2 linked regions of the Arabidopsis thaliana genome follow. The protein of the gene in region 1 interacts with the protein of each later gene in a pairwise test. Each region holds a gene or a part of one and is shown in the gene's direction. Other genes may lie near its edges. The genes, in order: BZIP17 and BZIP60.

Evidence for each region.
Region 2: the proteins of BZIP17 (region 1) and BZIP60 interact in a two-hybrid assay, tested with the Arabidopsis thaliana proteins (one study listed by BioGRID).

What each region holds. Positions count from the first base shown.
Region 1 is NC_003071.7:17,086,825-17,092,388, reverse strand, and holds BZIP17 (Basic-leucine zipper (bZIP) transcription factor family protein), read left to right. Parts: upstream 1-1,832; 5' UTR 1,833-2,062; coding exon 2,063-3,800; intron 3,801-4,138; coding exon 4,139-4,566; 3' UTR 4,567-4,824; downstream 4,825-5,564. UniProt on the Arabidopsis thaliana protein: Transcriptional activator involved in salt and osmotic stress responses. Functions as a stress sensor and transducer in a signaling pathway that resembles an ER stress response.
Region 2 is NC_003070.9:16,135,001-16,139,453, reverse strand, and holds BZIP60 (basic region/leucine zipper motif 60), read left to right. Parts: upstream 1-1,990; 5' UTR 1,991-1,994; coding exon 1,995-2,431; intron 2,432-2,941; coding exon 2,942-3,392; 3' UTR 3,393-3,731; downstream 3,732-4,453. Other genes in the region: AT1G42980 (Actin-binding FH2 (formin homology 2) family protein), read right to left, coding at 3,998-4,128, 4,213-4,270, 4,351-4,419. UniProt on the Arabidopsis thaliana protein: Transcription factor involved in the unfolded protein response (UPR). Acts during endoplasmic reticulum stress (ER) by activating unfolded protein response (UPR) target genes via direct binding to the UPR element (UPRE).

The sequences.
Region 1 (5,564 bases):
ATTGATGGGTTATTTCAACACATTCCACGTTTGCGACCAACGTTTGATCTTATTTCTTTCTATTACCAAAAAAAAAAAAAAAAAAAAAACTCGAATAAGATTAAATTGGAATTACTAGTCGGTTTAGATAAGATCATAAGAGAGAAGTCGAAGTTGTTTTGGAAAAAAAAATTCCGATAGATGTAAGCTTATTTGTGGTTGAACTTATAAAACCATGTATGTAAACGAGCACACATTTAGTCTGTAACCTGTTTATTCTAATTTCTTATAACGGACCACAGTCACATGTTTATCTCTAATTCTACAAAGTTGTCTATTTTCAACGGTGGTCAAAGTATGGATTAGATTTTCATTGCACCCACCACCACCTCTCTTTGCAAGCACCTCCCAAGAAAGGTACGTATATCAGATCAGAGGGTTTACTTTTTCATAATGTTAGTCTTTGATGAGTTTGTGTTCTTTTGTGAAGAATATAATGTAGTCTTTCATTATTTTGGCTTGTGTCTTTCAAAACTCTCGTGAAAAAATGATGCTTTATACCAATATACACCTTCTCATTTCCTAGCGGATTTCATTATTTCATAGTTTTGAACTTTGAACGTGAACGAAAAGCCAATAGTTATATCTATTTAAAATGCATCAATAAACAATACTCTATTTGTGATAGTATGAGGTGAGAGAGAAGAAATGATGAGCGATGCAGAGGGGAGAGGAGACATGCGTGACGGAAAAGAGACTCAAAAACGACACACAGTTGGAAAGTGAGGAGATAATATAGCATTATTTTTAGGGTTTAGATCAGAAGAGAGAAGTTTCGAGAGAAAGAGATTAACGGAGACAAACAAAAACCCTTCCTTCACTCCAACACAATGAAGTCAACGTGCTTTTAACATGTGGATACCGATATCTCCCACGCTCTTCCTCTGCTTCTTGGTTTTACACTCGCCCTTGTCTTTTGCCCTTTGTACCCAAATATATATTCAGCATAATCGTGAAATGACGACTATGTAGAATGATAATGCACCAAAGACTAAGATATTTTAGACGCCCAAGAATTAAATTTGGATACACAAAACTAATCACTTGGTGGTGTCCCGTCTCAAAGCTCGATCCCAAAAAGTCAACAACATGCACCATGACCATGAGTATTCTGTATTCACTACCAAATCGACACTACTATAACTATAACGTCAAACTAATCCATATGCTTTGTTTTACTTTTATAGCCCCCTCGATTACGAAACACGTATAGTTTGGTATCAAGACAATTGTAGAGATTATGTATGGTGAGAAATTCATATCTTTGCAGTCACCTTAAACGCAATCTATTTGAGATTTGTGAAATCAAGAAAGTAATTATATAAAAAAAAAAGATATATAACGAATCGCGAAAAATTATTACTAAGTTTATTTTTTGGGAGATAAATGATATATTCCCCAAGTAATTTACGTAAATTATTTTAAATGAACTATTAAGTCAATTATATATTTAAAAGAAATCTTAAAACTGATATCCTAATTTATGAAAAAAAAATAATAATTTAAATCTGCTTTCCCAAATATTAAATGAACTATTAAGTCAATTCTTTAAAAATAACAGTTTAATATTTTTTTGAAGATCAAAATTACTACTTACTATCTTAAACATATATAATAGTCAATCAAAAACAAATTCAAAATTAAAAAACCCACTAGCACATCATAAAATTTAATTTAGCTACTCTTAGGAAAAGTGTTATTCAAAATAAATTTCCCAATTTATTTTTCTAGATTTGCTGTTTATCATTTATTTTGGAAAGCGATTAATTTTGGATATTATAAGTTTCATGAATCACTAGTGTAAGTTAGCGAGTATGATTCCGGAGCGTAAGACCCACGCGCAGTAGACGAAGACGGAAGCAAGCACCTTCTACTTCCTCTTCCTCTTTGTCTTTAAACCCCTCGTCGTCTTTCTCCCGTGTTCTAACCTCATTCCTCCATAACCCCTTTCTTCCTTTTGAATCTCTCCTTCTTCTTCTTCATCCCCAAATTCGAAACCCTAACCCTAAAACTCAGTTTCAAAATGGCTGAACCAATCACCAAGGAGCAGCCTCCTCCACCTGCTCCGGACCCTAATTCCACCTACCCTCCTCCGTCCGATTTTGATTCCATCTCGATCCCTCCGTTAGATGATCATTTCTCCGATCAGACTCCGATTGGTGAACTAATGTCCGATCTGGGGTTTCCCGATGGTGAATTCGAGCTCACTTTCGACGGTATGGACGATCTTTACTTCCCTGCTGAGAATGAGTCGTTTCTCATCCCTATCAATACGTCCAATCAAGAACAGTTTGGTGATTTCACTCCGGAGTCTGAAAGTTCTGGAATTTCCGGTGATTGTATTGTTCCCAAAGATGCAGATAAGACTATTACAACTTCCGGTTGCATTAACCGGGAATCTCCTAGAGATTCCGATGATCGTTGCTCCGGTGCTGACCATAATTTAGATCTACCGACTCCATTGTCCTCTCAGGGTTCGGGTAATTGCGGTTCTGATGTTTCGGAAGCTACAAATGAATCGTCGCCTAAATCGAGAAACGTTGCGGTCGACCAGAAGGTTAAAGTGGAAGAAGCTGCTACGACGACGACGTCTATTACCAAGAGGAAGAAAGAGATCGATGAGGATTTGACTGACGAGTCTAGGAACAGTAAGTACAGGAGATCGGGAGAGGATGCTGACGCTAGTGCTGTTACCGGTGAAGAAGATGAGAAAAAGAGAGCTAGACTCATGAGAAACCGTGAAAGTGCTCAGCTTTCTAGGCAGAGGAAGAAGCATTACGTCGAGGAGCTTGAAGAAAAGGTTAGGAATATGCATTCTACGATTACGGATTTGAACGGTAAGATATCGTATTTCATGGCTGAGAATGCTACTCTAAGGCAGCAATTGGGTGGCAATGGAATGTGCCCGCCGCATCTTCCACCACCTCCGATGGGAATGTATCCACCTATGGCTCCAATGCCTTATCCATGGATGCCTTGTCCTCCTTATATGGTGAAGCAACAAGGATCTCAAGTGCCTTTGATTCCTATTCCTAGGTTGAAACCACAGAACACCCTTGGAACATCCAAGGCTAAGAAGTCCGAGAGTAAGAAGAGTGAAGCTAAGACCAAGAAGGTGGCTAGTATTAGTTTTCTGGGTCTTCTGTTTTGTCTATTTTTGTTTGGTGCATTAGCTCCAATTGTGAACGTTAATTATGGAGGAATTAGTGGTGCTTTTTATGGGAACTATAGATCTAATTATATTACTGACCAGATTTACAGTCAGCATAGGGATAGAGTTTTGGATACATCTCGTAGTGGTGCTGGTACTGGGGTTTCTAATAGTAATGGGATGCATCGTGGGAGAGATTCTGATCGAGGAGCTAGGAAAAATATATCTGCAACAGAGAGTTCTGTCACTCCTGGAAATGGTAGTGAGCCTCTAGTTGCATCACTCTTTGTTCCGAGGAATGACAAGCTTGTGAAGATAGATGGGAATTTGATTATCAATTCTATATTGGCGAGTGAGAAAGCCGTGGCTTCGAGAAAGGCTTCTGAATCAAAGGAGAGGAAAGCTGACTTGATGATCTCTAAAGATTATACCCCTGCACTGCCTCTACCTGACGTGGGAAGGACAGAGGAATTGGCTAAGCATCTCTATAGATCTAAGGCTGAAAAACAGAAAGCTCTATCCTCTGGCTCTGCTGATACTCTGAAAGACCAAGTCAAAACAAAAGCAGCCAACGGTGAAATGCAGCAATGGTTCCGTGAAGGTGTTGCAGGTAATCATGGGTTTTTGATCTTACTTTCTGTTCCCTTGACTTGGTTATGTAGGCAGGCATTGTAGGTATACTAGTCCTTATCATATCTTGATATTAGACACAAGAACATTTTAATGAGGCTTAACTTACCTTCAGCAAATCTCTGGTCATGAGTAGATGTATTGTATAATCTGGATTAGATACTAAACACTAATAAGGAACATGTGAAATTGTTACTCATATTGTATATTTTTCTTCATCTTTCTCGGCAGAAGCTGTAAGCGCAGTAGTAGCGTTTATATCTTTCTTGTTCACTAAATAATAACACCTTTTTTGTTTGTTAAATGACTATATTGTAGGTCCCATGTTTAGTTCAGGGATGTGCACTGAAGTGTTTCAGTTTGATGTATCCTCAACCTCTGGAGCCATCATTCCTGCAGCTACCAACGTCTCTGCTGAACACGGTAAGAACACCACAGACACACACAAGCAACAGAACAGAAGAATCCTTCGTGGTCTTCCCATTCCACTCCCAGGATCAGATTTTAACCTCACGAAAGAGCACCAAAGAAACAGCAGTAGCAAAGAAATCAAGCCTGCTTCATCAATGGTTGTATCTGTGCTTGTTGATCCCAGAGAAGGAGGTGATGGAGATATAGATGGGATGATTGGGGGACCAAAATCACTGTCTCGAGTTTTTGTAGTCGTGCTTCTGGACAGTGCAAAGTATGTAACATACTCCTGTGTCCTACCTCGATCAGGAGCTCCTCATCTTGTGACCACTTGAAGACATATGAGGATTGAAACATATATCAGCAGGTCTTCTCTCATATAGGCTTTGTATGTAAAAGAATAAATACCTGCTCTCTGGTATCACGTAATATCCTTAGCTAATACCGTTGTCCGGTTTTTGTTTCCAGATGTAGAATCCGAATGCTGTAACTTTTTTTTTTTACCTTTTATAAACTCATAGCCTTAGAAAGTTTTATCAAACCTCTCATATACATTGCAAAAGTCGATGACCAAAAAATGTCATTCTACAATAGAAGCTGAAATCCAAGTAGACAAAAGTGATCAGTTAGTTGATTCCATGGTTTGAGCCAAGGGGGCATCGGTGATAGCAGGAGAATATGAGCACACAAGTGACAGAAGAAGAAGTCTTTACCTGAAGGTCGACGGAGAGAGAATTGGATTAGCATGAACCCTCAGATTCATGAACCTGAGCTCACTTTTAAAATTTCTTTATTTCATTGTCAGAAAAAGAGAGCTAATAATATTATTATTTAAATGTAACAAGTAGGCCTATAACACGTGAACTTCCCTCTTTGCAAAAAAAAAATCATCAAAAACTTTTACCTCTCATTGGTTTCTTCTTTATCACACTGTTACGCTTGGATTCTCATTTCTTCAAGTTCATAACGCTCGGATCAATCAGGAAGACGAACTTGAACTTTCTTTTTTTCATCATTACCCAAAGCTATGAGGCTCACACCACCAATAGCTCCGCCGTCATGAATCCTTCTCTTCCAGGTACTGTGCCGTCTCGGGATAACAAACTTTCTATTTATTCTCTTCTGATCGGATCTATCTATCGATGAAGATTGATTTCACTACTTTAGTAACATTTCATCTGATCGATCTGTGTTGTGTTATCGAGGAATCAATCTCATTTTGTAGATTCAATTTTCTGGATAGATTTTGTATCTCTTTTCCATAGCTCTAGTCCAAATCTAGTCTCCACTGATATCTGAGTTTTGTTGACCAGGTCAACACAAGTCAGAGCTC
Region 2 (4,453 bases), on another chromosome or scaffold:
GTTTAAATCAAATTCACCTTGGTAGTAACAAAAGTAGAGTAAAACCAAGTAAAATAAATTCACGTTGAATTTAGTTTCCCTCGCTATCATGTTCTTCAAATTTTAAAGATGTTACTTAGGACGTTGGGGAAGTTATTTGAAGTTTGGTGAACAAGGAATTGTAGTACATGTGGTAAGTATTCCCGCTTACATACAAACAAAAAAGTAATATACAAAAGGAAATATATGCTTTACGTAGTTAAATAGCTTTGTTAGAGTCCTCTCTATTAGTTTAATTACAAAATTTGCAATCCTTATATTTCTTCATAGGTATTTAATTAGCATTATAAAAGAACTATATCATAGAAAATATACACTATTAACTTTCGATAAGTGACTTTATGAACCACGTCATTAGATCACAAGTCAGGTTAATACAATTGTCCTAAAATTATAATTAATGTAAATAATGTGTTACTAAAATTATAATTACTAATGCTATTATTGACAAGTTCGGTTGATAAGCAAGTCCAAAATCAAATCTCATCAATCAGACTTCTTGGGGACAAGAGATACGACCTCCAAATTTGGTTTTTGTCCAGAAGTTAAAACTAACATCATCTAGCTTTTTAATATTTCTATTGGTGTTTAAAACTTGTCTTCTATTCGTTTCTAATTGAAATTGCACTTTATCTACTTTTTTTAAAATATAATTTAACATTTTATTGAAAAATATATAATCATCAACTGCTTTTAATGTTAAACTACTTTTTAAGTACTTTTTGAAAAAGTGTAATTATTCACACAATCTTGAAATAATTTTCATCGTAAAACAATTTAATAGATGTTAATGTTGGAAATATATAAACATCAGGAATTTGAGGATGGATCTCTGTATACTCCTCATCCTCTGTATTATATTATTTAGATAGAGATTAATGATAATAAGCTACCAAACCATTAGCTAATTCACTATAGTAATATCTATTCCTATTTTAAGTTATGACTACAAAACATTAGCAAATAAACCTTAAATGAGTATGAAGAAAATAGTAAAATATATTTATTCTTTAAAATACATATAATAACAAAAATAAATTTAGAATTGATACAATTAAAGATAAATAATTAATAATAAATGTAAATCTTACATTAATTATTGAATGAACACATAGAAAATAATTAAATAATAACGTGACATTCATATGAAAATAGTAGATCAACTTTCACATATATAATTAGTTCACTCATCTGCTAGAGAACTGAAAATTTTACAAATTCATTCATGTGAGATTGAATGAAGATTAATCACTCATTTAAAATTGAATAAGGAAGATAATCCAGAATGTAACATAAATTGACAATATAATATATGATTTTAATTAACAAATTGATAACTTTCAAAGTCTAGAAGATGGTCACGAAGGAAGAAAAGTCCTCTCGGAGAACAAAGATTCAATCGTGGAAGATGTTGACGGTGACAAAGAGAAAAAGGGACTGAAGAATTTTGATTGATTTCTGAGAAATGGTCAAAGAAGCCTTGCTCTCCTTGGTCTCATTGTCCATCTCAACTACATGTACATCGTTTTGACTATAGCTAACTGGTTTACATAACTGTACCGAAAATAAGAAAATCAAACCAAGAGAAAAGAAGTGAATTAGAACCGAGTTATTAATCACACGAACACTTCACTGAGTACACGTGTTCGGCTGTGATCCTATTCTTCCAGCTTGAAGCCTTCTCATTGGTTGTGTGACGGCACATAAAAACAATAATCCTCTGCTAACAGAAACACTATAACACAGTACACTCCATCACATCATTGGCTAAAAATTCAAAAAACGCGTCCATAATCAACACGTGTCATGCTGACTCTTTTTCTACACATTTACTTGGTCGCAAAGAAATTTAGAAAAGTCTCAAACACAGTTCCTATATAACTCATCTCTCTTCCAATTTCTTAAATTAAATTCGCTTTTTTTTTTCTTCTTTGTATATTTTTTTTTTTTTGACCATGGCGGAGGAATTTGGAAGCATAGATTTACTCGGAGATGAAGATTTCTTCTTCGATTTCGATCCTTCAATCGTAATTGATTCTCTTCCGGCGGAGGATTTTCTTCAGTCTTCACCGGATTCATGGATCGGAGAAATCGAGAATCAATTGATGAACGATGAGAATCATCAAGAGGAGAGTTTTGTGGAATTGGATCAGCAATCGGTTTCAGATTTCATAGCGGATCTACTCGTTGATTATCCAACTAGCGATTCTGGCTCCGTTGATTTGGCGGCTGATAAAGTTCTAACCGTCGATTCTCCCGCCGCCGCTGATGATTCCGGGAAGGAGAATTCGGATTTGGTTGTTGAGAAGAAGTCTAATGATTCTGGTAGCGAGATTCATGATGATGATGACGAAGAAGGAGACGATGATGCTGTGGCTAAAAAACGAAGAAGGTATATCTAATTTTACTCTTGTTTGAAAAGTTAGGGTTTATGGATGGATTTTGTATGTTTGTGTTGATTTTGGTTTCATTAAGATTGTTAAAAGTGTGTTATGCTTTGAGAACAACATTGAGAACTAGGAGATACGTATGTGTAACAGTGAAGATTTGAGAAACGAGTGTTTAAATTTTGCTTGCGTATCTTGTGATATGTTCATGTTATTATGTTTATGTATGTGTGACGTTGAAGAGTTGATTGATTATGAGTGATGTTGATTTTTGTTTCATTTAGATTGCTATAAGTGTGTTATTGTTTTGATAACAACATTGAGAACTAATCATTTAAGTAAATGACTGTTTAAATTTTGGTTGCCTTTAATTATTGTTAATCTTGTGTTAATATTCATGAGCTGATTATGTTCAAACATAGGTATGTGTATTTTGGTTAACTTAAGATTGTTAAAGCCTTTTATGCTATGAAAAGAAACTGAGGTTTGATAATTGGGATGTGATTGTGGTTCAGGAGAGTAAGAAATAGAGATGCGGCGGTTAGATCGAGAGAGAGGAAGAAGGAATATGTACAAGATTTAGAGAAGAAGAGTAAGTATCTCGAAAGAGAATGCTTGAGACTAGGACGTATGCTTGAGTGCTTCGTTGCTGAAAACCAGTCTCTACGTTACTGTTTGCAAAAGGGTAATGGCAATAATACTACCATGATGTCGAAGCAGGAGTCTGCTGTGCTCTTGTTGGAATCCCTGCTGTTGGGTTCCCTGCTTTGGCTTCTGGGAGTAAACTTCATTTGCCTATTCCCTTATATGTCCCACACAAAGTGTTGCCTCCTACGTCCAGAACCAGAAAAGCTGGTTCTAAACGGGCTCGGGAGTAGTAGCAAACCGTCTTATACCGGCGTTAGTCGGAGATGTAAGGGTTCGAGGCCTAGGATGAAATACCAAATCTTAACCCTTGCGGCGTGACAACGCCTTTTTTAACTGCTTCTTTTGCGCATTTTGAGTTGTAGATGAGTGTCTTTTAGTTTTCTCTCTCTTGTTTTGTATTTCGCTGTTGAAAGTTTTCTGTCTAATATCGATAAGTTAACAGTGAATGTGGGTCTTATGGTTATGGATGATATCTATCTAATAATGCTTCTGCCTTTAAAATGTTGATTTTGAGGCATAACTTCAGGTAATATCACTTCTAATTACTAGATAACAATTCATTAGGTTGATTAACATTGATAAAGCTTTTCCTCATGCTAGTTTTTACATGTTTGCTTCATTTGACATTATCACAGTTTTTTTTTTTTTTTTTTTTGTCATCAGATATTATTTAGGGTTCAGACGAGCCAATCTTTGGGATTGTCACAGAGATTTTTGTTTGTAAAATGTTTGGTACGGATGCGTAGGCAGGTAAAAAAAAACGAACAGATAGTTTTATTAGAACAATGAAGATAAGGTAAAACTTCGAATTGTAAAAAAGTTCAAATATTTTCTAGTACATAAGCACTAGAGAAGAGATGATAGATAGTTTGCAGTTCCATCTAAGCAGCATAGAAGTTGTCGATGAAACTAGCTACGGTTCTTTAGAGGTTCCCATTTTGTTTGATGTTCATTTTTCTTTTCTCCAGTATCTCCTTCTCAGCCTCGGCTTGTCTTTCAATCTCCTCGCGAGACTTGTAGAACGTTTCCACGAAACGGGTCAGGATGTTGGTCGCTGCAGATAGGGAGAATAGCCAGAGTAGAAATGAGAACCGCGAAATGTAGACATGAGTACAATAGACAGTAGATGTGATGGTACCTTCCTTGAAGCGAACACCACTTGGATACTCAGCTATGTAGGAATTTACAAGTCCTCCCTGTGAGTTACAAAGTAAATATAGGTTTTGAGCATGATATACATGTCCTTCAAGGTCTAACCGAGAGTTATATAGGTTACCACTTCTGCGTATAAGATATTTAGCAACTGCTTGTCGCCGTCAATCGTACAAAGAAAATCATGCACCACCTAAAAACATGAAGATCGGATTAGAAGATGCTAC